4 linked regions of the Arabidopsis thaliana genome follow. The protein of the gene in region 1 purifies or fractionates together with the protein of each later gene. This does not show direct contact. Each region holds a gene or a part of one and is shown in the gene's direction. Other genes may lie near its edges.

The links.
Region 2: the proteins of VAM3 (region 1) and SYP52 purify together in Arabidopsis thaliana (affinity purification with western blotting; 2 studies listed by BioGRID, with this or other methods). This does not show direct contact.
Region 3: the proteins of VAM3 (region 1) and SYP51 purify together in Arabidopsis thaliana (affinity purification with western blotting; 2 studies listed by BioGRID, with this or other methods). This does not show direct contact.
Region 4: the proteins of VAM3 (region 1) and VAMP711 purify together in Arabidopsis thaliana (affinity purification with western blotting; one study listed by BioGRID). This does not show direct contact.

What each region holds. Positions count from the first base shown.
Region 1 is NC_003076.8:19,011,504-19,015,862, reverse strand, and holds VAM3 (Syntaxin/t-SNARE family protein), read left to right. Parts: upstream 1-1,752; 5' UTR 1,753-2,067; coding exon 2,068-2,252; intron 2,253-2,380; coding exon 2,381-2,474; intron 2,475-2,553; coding exon 2,554-2,693; intron 2,694-2,850; coding exon 2,851-2,913; intron 2,914-3,026; coding exon 3,027-3,184; intron 3,185-3,263; coding exon 3,264-3,364; intron 3,365-3,455; coding exon 3,456-3,521; 3' UTR 3,522-3,842; downstream 3,843-4,359. Other genes in the region: AT5G46870 (RNA-binding (RRM/RBD/RNP motifs) family protein), read right to left, coding at 372-377; AT5G46850 (phosphatidylinositol-glycan biosynthesis class X-like protein), read right to left, coding at 3,853-4,149, 4,229-4,359. UniProt on the Arabidopsis thaliana protein: May provide the t-SNARE function in the vacuolar assembly. Promotes the formation of vacuolar membrane 'bulbs'. Required for inflorescence stem gravitropism.
Region 2 is NC_003070.9:29,944,783-29,949,354, forward strand, and holds SYP52 (syntaxin of plants 52), read left to right. Parts: upstream 1-1,691; 5' UTR 1,692-1,805; coding exon 1,806-1,894; intron 1,895-2,277; coding exon 2,278-2,499; intron 2,500-2,618; coding exon 2,619-2,824; intron 2,825-2,919; coding exon 2,920-3,020; intron 3,021-3,101; coding exon 3,102-3,146; intron 3,147-3,390; coding exon 3,391-3,522; 3' UTR 3,523-4,025; downstream 4,026-4,572. UniProt on the Arabidopsis thaliana protein: Vesicle trafficking protein that functions in the secretory pathway.
Region 3 is NC_003070.9:5,554,299-5,558,620, reverse strand, and holds SYP51 (syntaxin of plants 51), read left to right. Parts: upstream 1-1,776; 5' UTR 1,777-1,987; intron 1,988-2,006; exon of another isoform or gene 2,007-2,170; intron 2,171-2,260; exon of another isoform or gene 2,261-2,275; 5' UTR 2,276-2,280; coding exon 2,281-2,495; intron 2,496-2,590; coding exon 2,591-2,796; intron 2,797-2,887; coding exon 2,888-2,988; intron 2,989-3,067; coding exon 3,068-3,112; intron 3,113-3,306; coding exon 3,307-3,438; 3' UTR 3,439-3,778; downstream 3,779-4,322. Other genes in the region: AT1G16250 (Galactose oxidase/kelch repeat superfamily protein), read right to left, coding at 1-497, 676-1,251, 1,406-1,407; AT1G16230 (Target SNARE coiled-coil domain protein), read left to right, coding at 4,297-4,322. UniProt on the Arabidopsis thaliana protein: Vesicle trafficking protein that functions in the secretory pathway.
Region 4 is NC_003075.7:15,525,438-15,529,676, reverse strand, and holds VAMP711 (vesicle-associated membrane protein 711), read left to right. Parts: upstream 1-1,750; 5' UTR 1,751-2,025; coding exon 2,026-2,242; intron 2,243-2,504; coding exon 2,505-2,695; intron 2,696-2,814; coding exon 2,815-2,978; intron 2,979-3,182; coding exon 3,183-3,270; 3' UTR 3,271-3,698; downstream 3,699-4,239. Other genes in the region: AT4G32160 (Phox (PX) domain-containing protein), read right to left, coding at 8-118, 529-621. UniProt on the Arabidopsis thaliana protein: Involved in the targeting and/or fusion of transport vesicles to their target membrane.

The sequences.
Region 1 (4,359 bases):
AATGAAGAAAAACGTTCAGACGTCTATTAACAGTTACCAGTTGTGTCATTAACAATGTTCAGACTGACATGAATTTGAAAACAGAGAGCACAAAAGTGTTAAACCCCTTACTCCTAAAGTTAACGAATTGGTTAAGTTCTGATTAACTTAAAAGTTATACATATAAGAAGCTGTGTCCAAAAATAAATTCACAAAGTTTTAACTAATTAGATAAATACTAATCACATTTATCAAACAAGTAATCCATAAGAAGGTAAAACCCAAAATTAGTGATTCTAAACGCCAATTTCAACATATCTAATCGCAGCTGGTGATCGAAATTCTACAAATACGAGACGAGAACGATTAATCGGATATGAAGGAGTACTCACCGACATTGCTAAAAACCGATATAAACCGGATTGAAACGGAAGATTTTCTGAATTTGAAACGAAAACAGAAGAGAAAATGAAAATCCTAGTAAGGAAAAATCTTTGGCTGTGAGGAAAATACAAAGCGGATTCAATTTAAATACAATTCTCCGGTACGTGTAACCGTCGGGATTATGTTTTTTTTTTTTTGTCTCGCCGGCGACTTCAAGGAAGAAAAAGGTCGTGCTTAGCTATTTCTTTGTCGGGAAAGATTCTAATTAAATTTTAATCATATAGTACTTACGTTTAAAACAAAACAAAAGACGTGACATAATCACATTATCAACCACTATCTGTCGTCCACGTGTCCAAAACCGTTTCTGCTTTTCACATGTAGTAAAGTTTAATAACCTCATCATTGGAAATCTTGCGAAAAAAATGCTGATAAAGTAATTACATTAACACTTTCCATTAGGGCTGGGCAAAATATTCGATCGATCCGCTTCGATTCGGTATTCGATTTGATTTGATTCGAAAAATCCGAATTTCCGTAAGATTTTGGACCAAAGCAAATAGGAAAATGTAGTATTCGTAAAAACCGAATCAAATAGCAAATATTGTTTTTTAAAAAATCAAATATCCGCTTCGATCCGTATCTTTTGATATATATTAGAATATATAGTTATATCTATATATAGATATCATAAATAGTTTGTGTATTGTTGCTACCTTATGTTTTTATGTTAAGATGTTTGTTTGATATTTTTTTTTATGTTATGTTTTGATCAATGACATCAAAAACTATCGAGTTTTAGTTTTTGGAATTAGTTTGATAACATTTTTGTTGACCGGTGATAACAACAAAGGTTATATTTGGTATTTAGAACTTATTTTGAAAGCATGTTAAATAAAAACTTTGAATATCTGATATGGTTATATAGTTTATATATTTTTTTAAAATATTTATACGTATCAAAGCGGATATCCGCAAATATCACAAAAAAATCCGGATATTCGAAATTCCGGATATCCGGAAAGTTTCGAATCAAAGCAAATCATAAAATCAAGTATTCGGTTAAAACGAATCGAATAACAAATATCACAATTTTTCCGAATATTCGCTTCGTGCCCAGACCTACTTTTCATTATTAAACTTTCACCTAAAATAGTTAAACTAAGGGCACCGAACCAAATTGAACTGTTTAAACCGTAGTGGAATCTTATATAAACTGATTTGATTGTATCTGAACTAAACCAAACCAAATAAATGTTTTATTAAAACTTTACATTTTAACTATTTACACATATTGAGAAAAAATATAATCATATTAATATATAAACTAACTAAAAATTATTGTTTATTAACTAAAACTGAATCAAATCAAAAATAAAAACAAACTGACCCAAACCAAAATCTCAATAAACCAAACCAATTGTTTAATTTGGCAAGAAAAACAGAAACGAGGAGAGGTTACTAAATATATAGAAATAAAAGGATCAAAAAGGAAACAACTTTATCTCAGCTTTTTCTTCTCAATTAAAATCAGTTTGGGATTTTTTCGAAAACGCTTTTCAATCTTCGTCTATCTGTCTCCACGATCCACGCCTTGACCTTCGTTTTTTTTTTCTCAGAGATTAGAGAAAACTCCGATAACCAATTTCTCAATCTTTTTGTAGATCCAATTTTTCCAGGAAAAAAAGAGGTTTCGCGAAGAAGATGAGTTTTCAAGATTTAGAATCAGGAAGAGGAAGATCAACGAGGAAATTCAATGGTGGTCGACAAGATTCGACACAAGCCGTTGCTTCTGGAATATTCCAGATCAATACCGGAGTCTCCACGTTTCAGCGACTCGTTAACACACTTGGTACTCCCAAAGATACACCGGAGCTCCGGGAGAAGCTGTATGTTGAAATTGAAATCTAAATTTCATTTGATAAAAAAAATTGAATTTTTGATTTCAATTTTGATTGCTTTTTTTTTTTTGTGGATTCTGAATTTAGAAATTATTATTCGGATTTTGTTGTGATAGGCACAAGACAAGGTTGCATATTGGACAGCTTGTGAAGGATACTTCAGCTAAACTTAAAGAAGCTAGTGAAACTGATCATCAAAGCGGTGTCAATGTAAAGTGGAATCTTTTTCTTCTTGTTTGGTTTTTAAGCGACTCTTTGTTGTGTGTTTGATTGTTGTGTAATTGTGTAGCCAAGTAAGAAGATTGCAGATGCTAAGCTTGCAAGGGACTTTCAAGCTGTTTTAAAAGAGTTTCAGAAAGCTCAACAAACTGCTGCTGAAAGAGAAACCACTTATACTCCTTTCGTGCCTCAATCTGCTCTTCCCTCTAGGTAACGTGACTGATTGATTATATGTGGTTTCATGTATGTTAAGCTCGAATTCGAATTAGAAGTGTGATTATCATAAGCAAAAAGCATCACTTTGTGAATTGTTTGTGTGGTTTTGATAATCATGTTCCTTATTTTTCTTGTCTGACTCCGTATATAGCTATACGGCGGGTGAGGTGGATAAGGTACCGGAACAGCGGGCACAACTTCAGGAGTCGAAAAGGTAGGTGATATCGAAAAAATATTCTTTTACACATCTCTTATATGATGCAACTTATTTTCTCCTTTGCTTGATTGTTGATGCAACTTATTTTCTCCTTTGCTTGATTGTTGTAGACAAGAACTTGTATTGTTAGACAACGAGATTGCATTCAACGAGGCTGTGATTGAAGAAAGAGAGCAAGGAATACAAGAAATCCATCAGCAAATTGGTGAGGTTAACGAGATATTCAAAGATCTTGCGGTTCTGGTTAACGATCAAGGAGTCATGATAGGTAAAGACAATCTATTAAACTTAATTAGAACATGCCCTTGAAGCTGCAGTTAGAGAACTCACTTTTTTCTTTCTTGCAGATGATATTGGTACTCACATTGACAACTCCCGTGCTGCAACTTCACAAGGAAAATCTCAGCTTGTGCAAGCCGCGAAAACACAAAAATCAAACTCCTCTCTGGTAAAACACTCAAAAAAGTTTTCAGACAAAAACAGTGACTGAATGTTTTTTGGAAACCTTAGGCTAATGTGTTGATCTTGTTTACACGCAGACATGCTTGCTCTTGGTGATATTTGGCATTGTTCTCCTGATCGTGATTATAGTACTCGCAGCTTGATTTCGAACAGCAAGAACATTTCGTTTGTGTGTGTTCATTGATCTTAAGGCATCAATGACTGGAACTACTTGGTATATATTATATGTTGAAGAGAACACTTAGAAGTTGGTTTTGTGTTTGTTTGGGTTGGTTCAGTTCGGTTTGAGGTTCTATTGGTTAATGTAATAGTGTGTGCGTGTGTGGCTTTTTTGTTGTGCAAACATTTTGTTGGAGATGACAGAAACTCTGTTTTGTTTGTGATTCTCCTATGTTCTCCTAAATCTTTGTTGAGAGGAAACAAAAACTATTTGCTCAATGAGTGTCACAAAGAAGTTTGAAACCAAAAGCAGAGTCATGACTGCTTCAAGTTTTTACAAGATTCACCCTTTGAGCTCAAAACCGATGCCACGAGTATTGAAAATGCAGAAAAAACCGCAGCGGCGAATGTCAAGGCGGAAACATACTCTGTATGACCCCTGATTCCGGCAGGGATATCCCAGAAAACAGACCTGGTTTCAGTCTTCGATCTGCCAATCGACAAAACCAAACATCTCCTCCGTTCACGTCGCTGGTTTTGTACATGGCTCGAGCACAAGAACAAGTCTGGCTCGCCAAACTCCACTCTAGAGTATCCACTGTCGTCCAGAGGCTGTGGAGATAACAGAGAAGTAAAGATCCAATCTTATTGACATCGACCAAAATAAGACTTAGTTCAAGTGATCATTTACCTGATACCGAGCATGTAAAGGAAGCTTAAAGCTTATTTCACCATTTTCATAATTTCTAGAGCTGATTTCAACATGAATCTCAACGACGGATCTGTTCGATCTAAACGAAGGCAGCTCAAGATTTGTGTCAC
Region 2 (4,572 bases), on another chromosome or scaffold:
GCGCATTTCCACTAGCGTTTTTTTTTCTTAACATTTTGTAAGACAATTTTCATGTAATTTTCTTCTGCTAATTTTTTTTTAGTTTAAACTTTAAAGTTGAAATATTAATACATAATAACGTACGTTCAGTTCACAGACGTTCTTAAGGTTCTGCAAATAGCAGGATTACTATTAATGTTTCCCTATAATGTGTATACACATGATTTATCTGCAGTTGCGTCAAACAATCATAACTGAATTTGTATATATAAAAAGGCATGGGGGATCGATCTTCAAAACTGTGGATATGATTTCCTGAAATATAACTCTTACAAGTTTATGAAATAATCCATTTGATATAAATAAAAAAGTTCACTAAACGAACAAATAGATATAGAGACTTTAGAGCCTTTGACAAAAAGAATAAGAAGAAGAATTGGAATGCAAAGAAGAAAAAAGCAATAATGGAAACCGGTACGTAGGAGGAGGAGTGTGGCACGTGCGGTAGAAGAAGCAAAATCCTGAAAGGCCGTGGAGGAGAGCACGTGATGGTCCAACACCAAATCCACAATTCAAGGTCCCTCGTTTGACTTCACTCTCTCTTCTTGAGATTCGCCTCAAAATTTATCTTCTTCTCACTTTTTTCCCCAAACGAATTACATAAAACTATTAAAGATAAAAACGAATATGATATGAATGGTAACTTTTAATTTCCTAAATTCCATGTAAGATACACGAAACACATAAAAACATTGGATTCTCACGGTAAATAATCTCTTCGTAAAACAATTTATGAAACTTACAAGTTTCTGTTGGCCCAATATTATCTTATTGAGATGTGCCGTTGCCTTCACGAAGACGTCATGCATTAAACCCCTTATTAATGAGCGTTTAATCATATAGAGATACCAACATGTTCTGAAACTTATAATCTTATTTTAGAATCCCCATTATGGCTAATTAAGTGTACGTATAAAATTCAAAGTGATACGCAATTACCTTTAGTATACAATATATATATATGTGTTGTACACCGTTTGGTTCAGGTGAATTACTGAATCACCTGGCTATTTTATAACAAGGAGGGAAATTAAATACTACCATTTTTCGGGTATTTATTATATAAAACATTTTATGAAAATTTATATTAGCCAAACAATCTAAGAGATTTCATTTAAATTAATTACAAGTGTTCATTGTTGATGGATAAATTGCATATTGAGGATGAATACCAAAAAGGTAGGTAGATGCCAACTAGACCAATCTTGTGCACGGCGTCGTTTCATGAGTATATTAAATGGGCCTTAAAAGTATTACCCTTTTTATGACGACCCATTTAATTTAGGAAGCCCAAAGATGAATAAACCTATTATTATTGTTTATGTGTTTATACTTTTGAACCCATAATTTATTTCTGTTATGTCATCTCAACCCTAACTTTATATAATCAGTATTAAATCCAGGCATCTTCAACGAGCCGTCAACAAAGATAGGAAAACGTAGTCGTTTGATACAGCTGGTATAAAATCTGAATTCATTCTTCAAATAAATTAAAATCTTCGTTGGCGTTGTTGTTGGTTGCGTTACAGATTTTGGACTAATCATTATTTTCGTGCCTGCAAAGTCAGCACGACGATCGCGTTTCGATCTTCAAAGTAGAAGAAGACCCGCCACAATCACAAATCGCGGTGCATATAGTCTAAAGGGTAAGCTTTTCGATTCCTTTCACCATGTAAATTTAGGTCAATTCCGTCGCTTCTTTGATTTGGGGTGTTTTTCCTGGCGCGAAATCTTTCCGATTTTCCCTGATTATGAATTTATAAATAATGGGTATCGCAGATTTTGGGTCTCAGTGGCTGATTCTTTTCGACTCTAGTTTCTGCTTCCGCCGTCTCATTTTTTTTTCTACGCAACAGTAAAGTTTTTATTTTTCCACCTGAATTTTCGGATGATGGCCGAAGATTTTGTGTCTATGCTGATACCTAATTTTTCCATCTGAAATTGATTTTATTCACTGCTATTTTCATTTTGTTTTCATATCATTGTGACTCGCTACTAAAAGCTTCTAAATTTGTTGCCTTTTTGTGAAAAGCTCTTTACACGGTCTATGGTAATTGTGTTAAGATTCTTGTTCATCATGTACGAGATTTTCATTGGGTCACAAGAGTTTCGTTGTTGAAGCTACTAGTTTTTTTCATGATCAAATACTTCTTTGAGCTACTTGTGATTCTCTTTACATGATCTTTATGTAGAAGATAAGTATTGCTGTGTTTTAATTAGTTAGGTACTTGTTTTCAGGTCAATGGCCTCTTCTTCGGATCCATGGATGAGAGAGTACAATGAGGCTTTGAAACTCTCTGAGGATATTAATGGCATGATGTCTGAAAGGAATGCCTCCGGGTTAACCGGGCCTGATGCTCAACGTCGTGCCTCTGCAATTCGAAGAAAGATCACCATTTTGGGGACTCGATTAGACAGTCTGCAATCCCTTCTTGTCAAGGTTCCTGGCAAGCAGCATGTGTAAGCCATTCTGATTCTGGTTGCCTGTTCAAACTCCTCATGTTAGACAACGCTAAGTTTCATGTTGGTCTTGAACTATGTAATTATGGTTTATGTGTATGCAATTTGCTGATAAACAGTTCGGAGAAAGAGATGAATCGTCGCAAGGATATGGTTGGGAATTTGAGATCAAAAACAAATCAGGTGGCCTCTGCTTTGAATATGTCAAACTTTGCAAACAGAGACAGCTTGTTTGGAACAGATTTAAAGCCGGATGATGCGATAAATAGAGTCTCTGGCATGGACAACCAAGGAATTGTTGTATTTCAACGGCAAGTTATGAGAGGTAAGATGTGGTATGTAACACTGTTCTAGGACCATAGTAATGATCTTGGCGTCTGTATTAATTTCTCTTTGATTGTATTTTATTTCCATGAGTAGAACAAGACGAGGGACTTGAGAAGTTGGAGGAAACAGTCATGAGTACCAAACACATTGCTCTCGCTGTTAACGAGGAGCTCACCCTGCAGACAAGGCTTATTGTATGTCTCCGCTGTTGTTCATTGCTTTTCTTGTTGATTTTGATTTCTTATTCTAACGAAATGGGACTTTCTTCCATGCAGGATGACTTAGATTACGATGTGGATATCACTGACTCTCGCTTACGGGTAAGTATATGCTTCGAACAAATTAGTCTCATTAGTCACTAGCTTAAGCTGGTCCATTGATAAGCTAAAGAACAATAGGAAGGCAAGCAAGTGATTTTAACAATATACTGGTCTATTATGTCTAAGAATCTCTCGGTCGTTGCTTTTTTTTTTTATCATAAAAAGCAATAATTTTTTAGTTTAATGTGATTCACATCTCGTCTTGGATTTGATGTAGCCTGTTTGTGTTTCTTGATGATTGCAGCGTGTTCAAAAGAGCCTTGCCTTGATGAACAAGAGCATGAAAAGTGGTTGCTCATGCATGTCTATGCTCTTGTCTGTGCTTGGAATCGTTGGTCTTGCTCTTGTAATTTGGCTGCTGGTTAAGTACCTGTAATGCCAATGTGGTGGCAACTTGTGAAAGCTCATCCTTTTCTCTCAGCCTATCCTCTGTGCTTAATGGTTGTTTTCTATTCCTTCTATCGATTGATTCGTGTCTGTGAGGCAAAGAAGAATACCACTGCGTGTAAGAAACCCTCAGAAGTACATAATCTGTATTACCTTCGTATCAACCACGAATTGTAAACTAAGTTGACATTTGTCTATATATGGTATGGCTCCTACTTGGTTCAATAAAGAGAACTAGTGGCTTGGACAATGCAGAGACATAATGGTCAAGATGGCAATCATTTTTTTATAAAGTGACCATCAATTTTTTTATTGTGTGGAAAAATTGATCTCAGTCACATTCTGTAAGGTTAGCCACTTGGCCTTTTAGCTCTGTAGGCGCTGCTTATGATGGGGAGCATTGGCAATCACCTCCTTTGGGGTGATTTCATTGTTTGATTCCGGATTAGAATATGAATTAAACATCTCTAATTGTTTCAAAATCAATTTAACTAGAAATTTTTTCTTAACAAAAGTAATAGAAACTTTTTTGCTTTGTTGTATTTCACAACTCGAAATTGTTATAACCAAATAAATAGATTCATATTTTCTTAAAAAGACCTATAGGTTTGGGTCGAAGTTAAAGATTAAATAAAGTTTTCTGGTAACATTATTTCAATACTGTCAAATAAAAAGTTGTAAACAAAAGTCGCGCGTCATGATTCTCAATATATTGGTTCATTTGATGTTTATAAATTTTTAATGTTTTTGTATACGGAAAAATAACGTATTGTGACAAAAATAGCGTATACGAAATAACCAGGTTAATTGTTTATGGGCTTGTTATTTTATCATAAAAATTTAACCACAGATAAAACAGACATGGGCTCCATAAAATAGGCCCGAAAGACTTAACTTCTTTTTCTTCAAAGTGAAAATACCCATCACGCGCCCCAGTTTATTTATTTTAGCGAAAACAGCAATTTTCGTATAGTCCAGGGATTTCGGGGAGGTGGCGTCGACGCGCTCATTGTGAGAGTGGGTAAAAAACTTAGATTTC
Region 3 (4,322 bases), on another chromosome or scaffold:
CTCTCCAATTCAGAGGTCTATCCAAAGGGTTACATACCCTCACAACAGGCAATCTCACAATGTCAAATCTCCCTGCCCCTGATTCTTCCCATTTAAGGACCTTACCTCCTATAACATAGAGTTCATTCCTTAGAGCTGCAAACCCATAACCGAAGGCTTCTAACTCTCTCGGATGATTAGGAAGAACAACAGAAGGAACTGAACCAACATTGTACCATTCCCCTTCATCTGTATCCCTAGTCTTGATCAAGCTTTCTCCCCAATCTACAATAGTATACACCCGATCATTTTTCATCACCTGAACAGCAAACTGCATGGCTCTAGAGAAAGGCCAGACATCCTCCACAGTGGACCAAGTCATGTCTCGTGGATTAAAAACTTCAGATGAATTTTGCTCTGCAAATCCCACCTGGTCACTTAAAACATGAAAGCAGCCTCTGTACGATAACCCCGAGCAGTCCATCTGTGGTCTAGGCATTGCTGGTAATTCCTCCCACCTGCAATACTACTATGTCATACTCCAGTTTGATAGCTTTTCAGGTGAAACATGAGAAAACTTTTAAAACTATATCTTGACCCATCATAGAAAAAAACAAAAAGAGTACATTGTGGGGTTAAATATGCCAGTTCTATCCTACACGAGAATATAAACCACATTAGTGTGGGAAAAAATACCTATCAGCGACAGGATCATAAACCTCAGCAGATGGGATTCCCCTGGAATGAGTTAAATTACGACCTCCAGCAACATAAACCTTGCCAGAGACAGAAGTACAAGCAAAGTGAGTCCGTGGTGTTCGCATACTAGCAACCATTTTCCATTGTTTCTTAAACGGATCAAACCGCATGACATCTTTAGTGACAACAGGCTTCTGATGAGGAAACGATGACACCGAAGGCGCATAACAACCCCCAATCACAAGAAGACAATTGGAAACACAAACACACGCAAAACCAGAATGATGCCAACCATCTTGAACAGCTCTAGTTCTAGGCAATGGATGCCATCGATCAGCTTCAGGATCATAAGCAACCCACTGATTCTTAGAACGTTCCGTCAACACAAACAACCAGCTCCCTGACCATCCATTTCTAGCTTTATAGCACGAGTAATCAGCACCACGAACTAAATCTCTCCAGCCTCTGGAAACACATTCGAGCACTCCATGATACCCATGAGAAAGCTTCGCTATGCATCTCAAAGCCAAATCATCAGGCAAACCTGGGATTATAGACTGCTCGATTGATTCCCTGAAAACAAGTTTCAGCCACTAACGATCAGACTTATTCAATCAATAATCAACATTCAATGTTTTAAGACAAAACATGATTTTGAAGAGAAAAGGTAAAGGATTGAGATTTAGATTCAACTTTGTGAAGGAAGAACAAGAGAGCTAACACTTACATGAACCGAATCGTACTCGAGAGATTGTAAATGTATCTTCTGATCCCCTTCTCGAACTTGCTTTAGAACACCAAAATCGCGCTTCAAAGTTTATCACTTTCCCGGAAACAAAAACACCATTAACGATAATCGAAACGGAAACTGCAATCAGAACGATATAGTTATGATGGAACTAAGCACAGTCAGAGAGAAACTCAGGATTCTGGCAAGGAAGAGAGGAGACGGAAGAAACAGGCATGAGATGGATAGATCCATTATAATGGGTCGAAAATTTAAATATTCTTTATTGATCCCTTCATTTATATGTTCTTTCTGCTTCTTAACGCATACTTTCTTAAATAACTAATTTAACCCATAACTTTTCCAAGATAACAAGTTAAAACCGCGTCGTTTTATTTCAGCTTCGTCTTTATCTCATCTTTCTTGCGACGGGCCCTGCTACCCGGTGCGTGACAGGTTGAATCATTCTCCTCCGATTCACGGTGATTCCGGCGACTACAGACTCAACATTTAATAAGCCGATCTCTTACATGGTACGAGCTCGGACAAATTGAAGAATACAAAGGTCCGAGAAATAATTTGGTAAGCAATTCGATCCTTTAAACGATGTTATTTTTGTCAATCCGAGTCATTGATGAGGGATTATATCTGTTACTGAATCTCTCTGATCTTCCCCTGATAATGGACTTCATGATCCTGTAAATTTCAGATTTTGAGCCTTGTGCCTCAAAATTGTAGTCAAAGGCCGCGTTTTTGTCTCAATTTGTAGATCTTTGTTGTTGTTTCTGTTGGATCTTACGTATATATCCTTGATCATTTTAAAATTTCAATGGAAGTGATCCAGGCTTTGATTAGCTTTTAATTATATAGGAATAATGGCGTCTTCATCGGATTCATGGATGAGAGCATACAACGAGGCTTTAAAACTCTCTGAGGAGATTAATGGAATGATATCAGAAAGAAGTTCATCGGCTGTCACAGGGCCTGATGCTCAGCGTCGTGCTTCAGCTATACGAAGGAAGATCACCATTTTCGGTAACAAATTAGATAGTCTGCAGTCTCTTCTTGCTGAAATTCATGGAAAACCTATGTAAGCCATTTACTAGTCCAATCCTAATTGCTTAAATCTGTAAATTAGACACCTTTAAGGTTAGTGTTAATCTGAATTATTACTTACTGACACAGTTCAGAGAAAGAGATGAATCGGCGAAAGGATATGGTAGGGAATCTGAGGTCAAAAGCAAACCAGATGGCGAATGCTTTGAACATGTCAAACTTTGCCAATAGAGACAGCTTGCTCGGGCCAGATATCAAGCCGGATGATTCCATGAGCAGAGTTACTGGCATGGATAACCAAGGAATTGTTGGATATCAACGACAAGTTATGAGAGGTAAAACCTCTCTTATCCTAGTAAACGTAATACAGATGTTGATTTCTGTATTTGTTTTTTCCTATTGAATGTTTTATTTTCCTGTGAGTAGAACAAGACGAAGGACTTGAGCAATTGGAGGGAACAGTCATGAGCACAAAACACATTGCTCTGGCTGTTAGTGAAGAGCTTGACTTGCAGACTAGGCTTATTGTATGTCACTAGCTTTTCATTTTTTCGCCTTTGATTTGAATTTTCGGATACTAACACATTTGGATTTTCCTTTATGCAGGATGACTTAGATTACCATGTGGATGTTACTGACTCTCGCTTAAGGGTAATATATGCTTCAACTCTTAAATATTTCAACAAACTAATTACTTTGGTGAATCCCAAGCTTTAGTTGATCCATACTTTCATTAGGAGTAACACTGATGTAATGGTGATCTGTTTTCGGTTTGCTCAACCAAGAACCACATTATGCTTAAGCTAATGGCTAATTAAAGACATTGATCTGTTATCTTATTACAGAGAGTGCAGAAGAGCCTTGCTGTCATGAACAAGAATATGAGAAGTGGTTGCTCTTGCATGTCAATGCTCTTGTCAGTGCTGGGGATCGTCGGTCTTGCTGTTGTAATATGGATGTTGGTTAAGTATATGTAATACCAACATCAGACAACTTATAAGTTCCTCTGTAGGTCCACTGGCCTCTACTCTCTATGTGAATGGTTGCAATGTATTTCCTCATTCCACATTTGTGGCTGAGCTTTTCATTTCTCTTCTGTTACCAAAACCCTTTAAGTAATATATAATGTGTGCAGTTATCACAGTTTGCTCTTTGCTGTCTTCATAAAGATTTAAGAAGTGGTAGCAAGTCAAACACAGAGACAAAAAAACAAAAATTATCTGTAGAATCTTCCACGAAGAAACTTGTCTGAGTTTGTTATAAGAAGAACATTGTGGAAATTTTGTAAAACACCAATATTCATATCATCATCACTGGAAACAAAATTCGCAAAATACGTATCTGATCCTTCATTTTATACATGTGTACTGTTTCTTAATCTCTACATTTGTAAGAGGCAAAACAAGAGATAGTGTAATGCATGTTCCTTTTTTTATTTCGCCAAGAATTGTCAACGTAGGCCTACCTTTCTACGATCATATAAGTAATGGTCTCGTATTTAGAAGATGTCTTCTTTCGAAGGAAACTGCCGTCTGGCTGCGTGGCTACAAAGTCAGCACTCAGCAAGTTGATCTCTTTCTCAATGACAATGATGTATTATTTAAAGGTCCTTGGTGAGCAATTTGATTCTCTTTTAGAGATATATATGTTGCTGAATTGCTCCGATCTTCCTTTAATACATGTGCCAATACCATTATCGAAGTTGTTGCTTCTTGTAAGCTAGTTGGATTTTTGTTGTTCTTATTGTTGCATTTATATACATCCTTGGTAAAGTTAAAAGTTGTCTGAAAGTGATCTGTATTGGATTTTTGATTATGTAGGATTAATCAAAGTCAATGGCTTCTTTGTGTGATTCATGGAT
Region 4 (4,239 bases), on another chromosome or scaffold:
CAATTACCACAACAGGATCTGAATTTCTTGATTTTGGAAGGACAATCCACGAGGGTATTGTAACGCAATAACTCCATCCAGTTCGAGGGTCATGAGGCCAAACAGTATCTCTACCATTCTGCAGAAATAAACATAAATATCTCAAAATCTCCAACTTGTACATATATGGAATTCAATCGAGTAGAATGATACTTTATAGTCTGGAGCTATCCAAAGCTGCATAAATAAAGATTTAGCTACCCCTGATGTTAAACAAAAGATAAACTAACAATTCAATAGAGGGCAACAACAGAATTCACCAATTGTAGGAAATGACTTCTAATGCCTTATGTGGTGAGTCTACCATTGGACTTGCTGGTAACTACACTAGCTATCCCCATAGCTTGGGACTAATAACAAAGACATCCACATTTATCTCAAGTCCCATTAGAATAAAGCAGGCAACTGAAGAATTCTAGCACGGCACTTCCAAAAGGTAACGTGGTAAAGTCCAATAAAGTTCGAATTTTTGGCAACAAAAGAACTCACCCATTTGCGCGGTGGAGGACTCCAATCCATTCCTAATGGAAGCGGCGATGTTCCGTCATGCCTGTGCTTGGGCGGACTCCGTCTCTGCATCATCTCCACCAAACTTTACCTAAGTCTCTCTCTATCTCCAGCTCTCCGGAATCCGAATTTGATATTCCGATCAGAATCAATCGGAGACACGATCGAGTACTAATATCCCGATCGAGAAACCACAAATTACGAAATCTGAGCAAAAGATGATGGAAGAGTAAGCAGAGCGTAGGGTTTATGAAGATCGTCGTGAGATCGAGGAGAGAGAGAGAGGACACAGATGGAGGCAAAAGAAGGACCAGATGGCGTCTCTCAGGGTCTTCTCTGCCTCTGGGTTGAATTCCCACAGACCACGGTGATTAACGGCGGTGTTGTGACGTTTACTTTAACGGAAAAGCCGAGAAGAAACAACACGTGATTTGACGGAGGCGCGAAGCTTACCGTGTATATATGTGTATATGTCCCACTTTTTCCCGTGAGATTCGGTTTGGGTCGTGAACCACGTCTTGGTTTAGAGTTGGGAATTGGGATTTTATATCTGTTGTACATTTTGTAAGGCTTATCTCTGGCTATGTTTGGTTTAGGCTCAGCTCATTGGATGTCATTTTCATTTTTCTGCCTTTAATTTTCCTTTTTTTTTTTTGTCTTTGGCTAAAGTTAGTATATTATTCACTCATATCTTATTCAAACTCGAAACCCAATTTTGACCCAAATCGTTTCAAACCAGAAGGAAATAGACCGCTTTTTGGTTTTGTTTGGTACGTCACTACCACACTAAAAAAAAAAAAACTGATTTAATGATGATTTGAACACATCCCTACATTTTATCCTTCATATTCGTAAAAATTTACACTTTAAAATCACATCTTCTTCCACGGATAAATTACAATTATTCGATCTTTTTGCTCAGATTTCTCTATTTGTTTGAAACTGATAGAATTTGTTTGTTTTCTTTGTATTTCTTATAAGTTTGATATCAAACTAATTTAGCGTTAACCATTAATAATCCTTATAAAACAATTCACGGTACAATATTTTCGAAACTGAAGCAAATTGTTTTCTTTTCATATTTATATTTTTTACTTATTAGAACTAAATTAGTTCCGACAAAACAAAAAGAACTAACTTAGTTTTGCCCGTGATATTTTGACAAAATTTCATTTTGATCCTTATAATAATACAGTATTTTAAAAATAAATCAACGTAGCTATCCGAAATTAAATATTTGTAATCAGCGGAGGCGAAAAGGTCTCCAGCTCCAGCTAAACTCCAAGAGGAGAGAGAGAGAAAGAGATTCAATTATATGCAGAGAGAAAAAGAAGCCAATTGGTTCTCTCTCTCTCTCTCTCTCTCTCTGATTGATTGATCCAGCGATTCGTCTGGCTGGCTCGGTTTCCGCGGGAAAACCTTCTTCTTCGTTGACCTTACACGAGTTTTGTTGATTCGGCAGGGGGATCGACGACGGAGATGGCGATTCTGTACGCCCTCGTGGCTCGTGGCACGGTGGTTCTTTCTGAGTTCACCGCCACCTCTACGAATGCGAGCACCATCGCCAAACAGATCCTCGAGAAGGTCCCTGGAGACAACGACAGCAACGTCTCCTACTCTCAGGATCGTTACGTCTTCCACGTTAAACGCACCGATGGCCTCACCGTTCTCTGTATGGCCGAAGAAACCGCCGGAAGTACGTCCTCCCCTTTCTTTTACTTCTATGGCTAATTTTGAGGAAGTTTCCAACTTTGGTGACAGTGGAATTCAAAAGTCTAATCCTTTTTTGCTCTGAACGATCGCTCTGTTATTGAATTCGAGACCTTTGGTCTTATATTGTGATGTGAATGAATTTGATTTTTTTGGACATAACATCAACACAATTATATCCGAGAAGCTGTGCATTAGAGAGATGTGAATGTCTTTCTAACTCAAAAGTCAAAACTTTTTTATGTCAGGGAGAATTCCTTTTGCCTTTTTGGAGGATATTCACCAGAGATTCGTACGGACTTATGGCAGGGCTGTTCATACAGCACTAGCTTATGCAATGAATGAGGAATTCTCTAGAGTTCTCAGTCAGCAGATTGACTATTACTCTAATGATCCTAATGCCGATAGGATTAATCGTATTAAGGGTGAAATGAATCAGGTTTGATGAGTTTGTCTTACAAGTTCAGTCGGATTGTGAAGTTGTTTAGAGACATGGTTCTGAGTCTTGGCTTCACTGTTTGACAATACATCCTGGTTTTTCTTTTTGGTTTTGGATAGGTGCGGGGTGTCATGATAGAAAACATTGACAAAGTCCTAGATAGAGGTGAACGTTTGGAGCTTCTTGTCGATAAAACCGCCAATATGCAGGGGAATACATTCCGGTTCAGAAAGCAAGCTCGTCGTTTTAGAAGCAACGTCTGGTGGAGAAACTGCAAGCTCACGTATGTTTCCTAAAACCTTAGTAAACAATTTTCAGTATTATGATTGCAAGACTGTATACTAAAACTAGTTTTTGGCCTAAGAACACATTTAACTATAGCAAAAAGTACTTTAATCACCCCAAGTTCCACATTTGTAATGTCAAGTGAGAATTTTTTAAGAATCGAACATAGTTCCTAATTCCTAACCCTTTTTGTCTCTTGCAGGGTCCTCTTAATACTACTACTACTGGTGATCATATACATTGCAGTGGCCTTTCTCTGCCACGGACCTACTCTACCATCTTGCATTTAAGTGCATCTGTCTCTTAAGGAATCCATCCCGATTCTGCGCGTTGCCACGACTTTTTATCTCCTCATCTGATTGTAAACCTTGTGTTTTCCTGAGCATTTTCATGTGGCTTAAAAAGCTTATGTTTCCAACTCACGTATATGAAAAAGTATACTTATTTATAGAGCAATGTAAAAGCTCATTGCTTTGCGAAGTGTGTGAATCTTTGTTGACATCATGTTCTATAAATTACATACATAGTGGAAAAGTGAACAGGCTTGCTTTGTCTGATATGTTCATACAACTCTTTGAATCTTCATGTTCTTTGTTTATGTGACTTCCTCTCTCGTATATCCACACCAACTTCTGAAGTCGGCAGTTGAATGATCTTGTACGTCGTTGACCCTACAAATTCTTGTCATTTTACAATTGAAGCCATTTGTTGATCATAAATCGAATGTAAATATTAGAAAAGAAAGATAGGAGAACAAGATACAACAAGTGTCATAAATTGTCGTCCGAAAATAAAATATGGGTATCATCTCTAGTTAAGGCCAGACGCACCTCATTCACCAACTTGACATCTTGTCATGCCACCTAATAATAGCTAAATAAATTATAGTAGGTGGATTTAACCTTTTATTTATATAATAGCAGCATTTCAAATATAAAATTTTGTTTTTATCAACACCATGTTTACTAACTAAAAGGATGGAATTTATATCCATATATGATCAAAATACTAAAATGTTTGGTTGAACCAAAAAAAATAAAAAGCGTCGACTTTACGGTTTAAATATCGTTACAGAAAAAGAAGAAAAGAAAAGACGGCTACATCACGCTTACTAAAAATTCTACAGTCCAATTAAAGTCATAACAAAATTAATACTATATATTTATTAAAAAAAACATGATTATTTACTTTCCTTACAAAAAAAAACAAAAGTGTAAATATTTCCTGGTCTAACGCTTTCCCTCTGCGTGCCCCGTTCC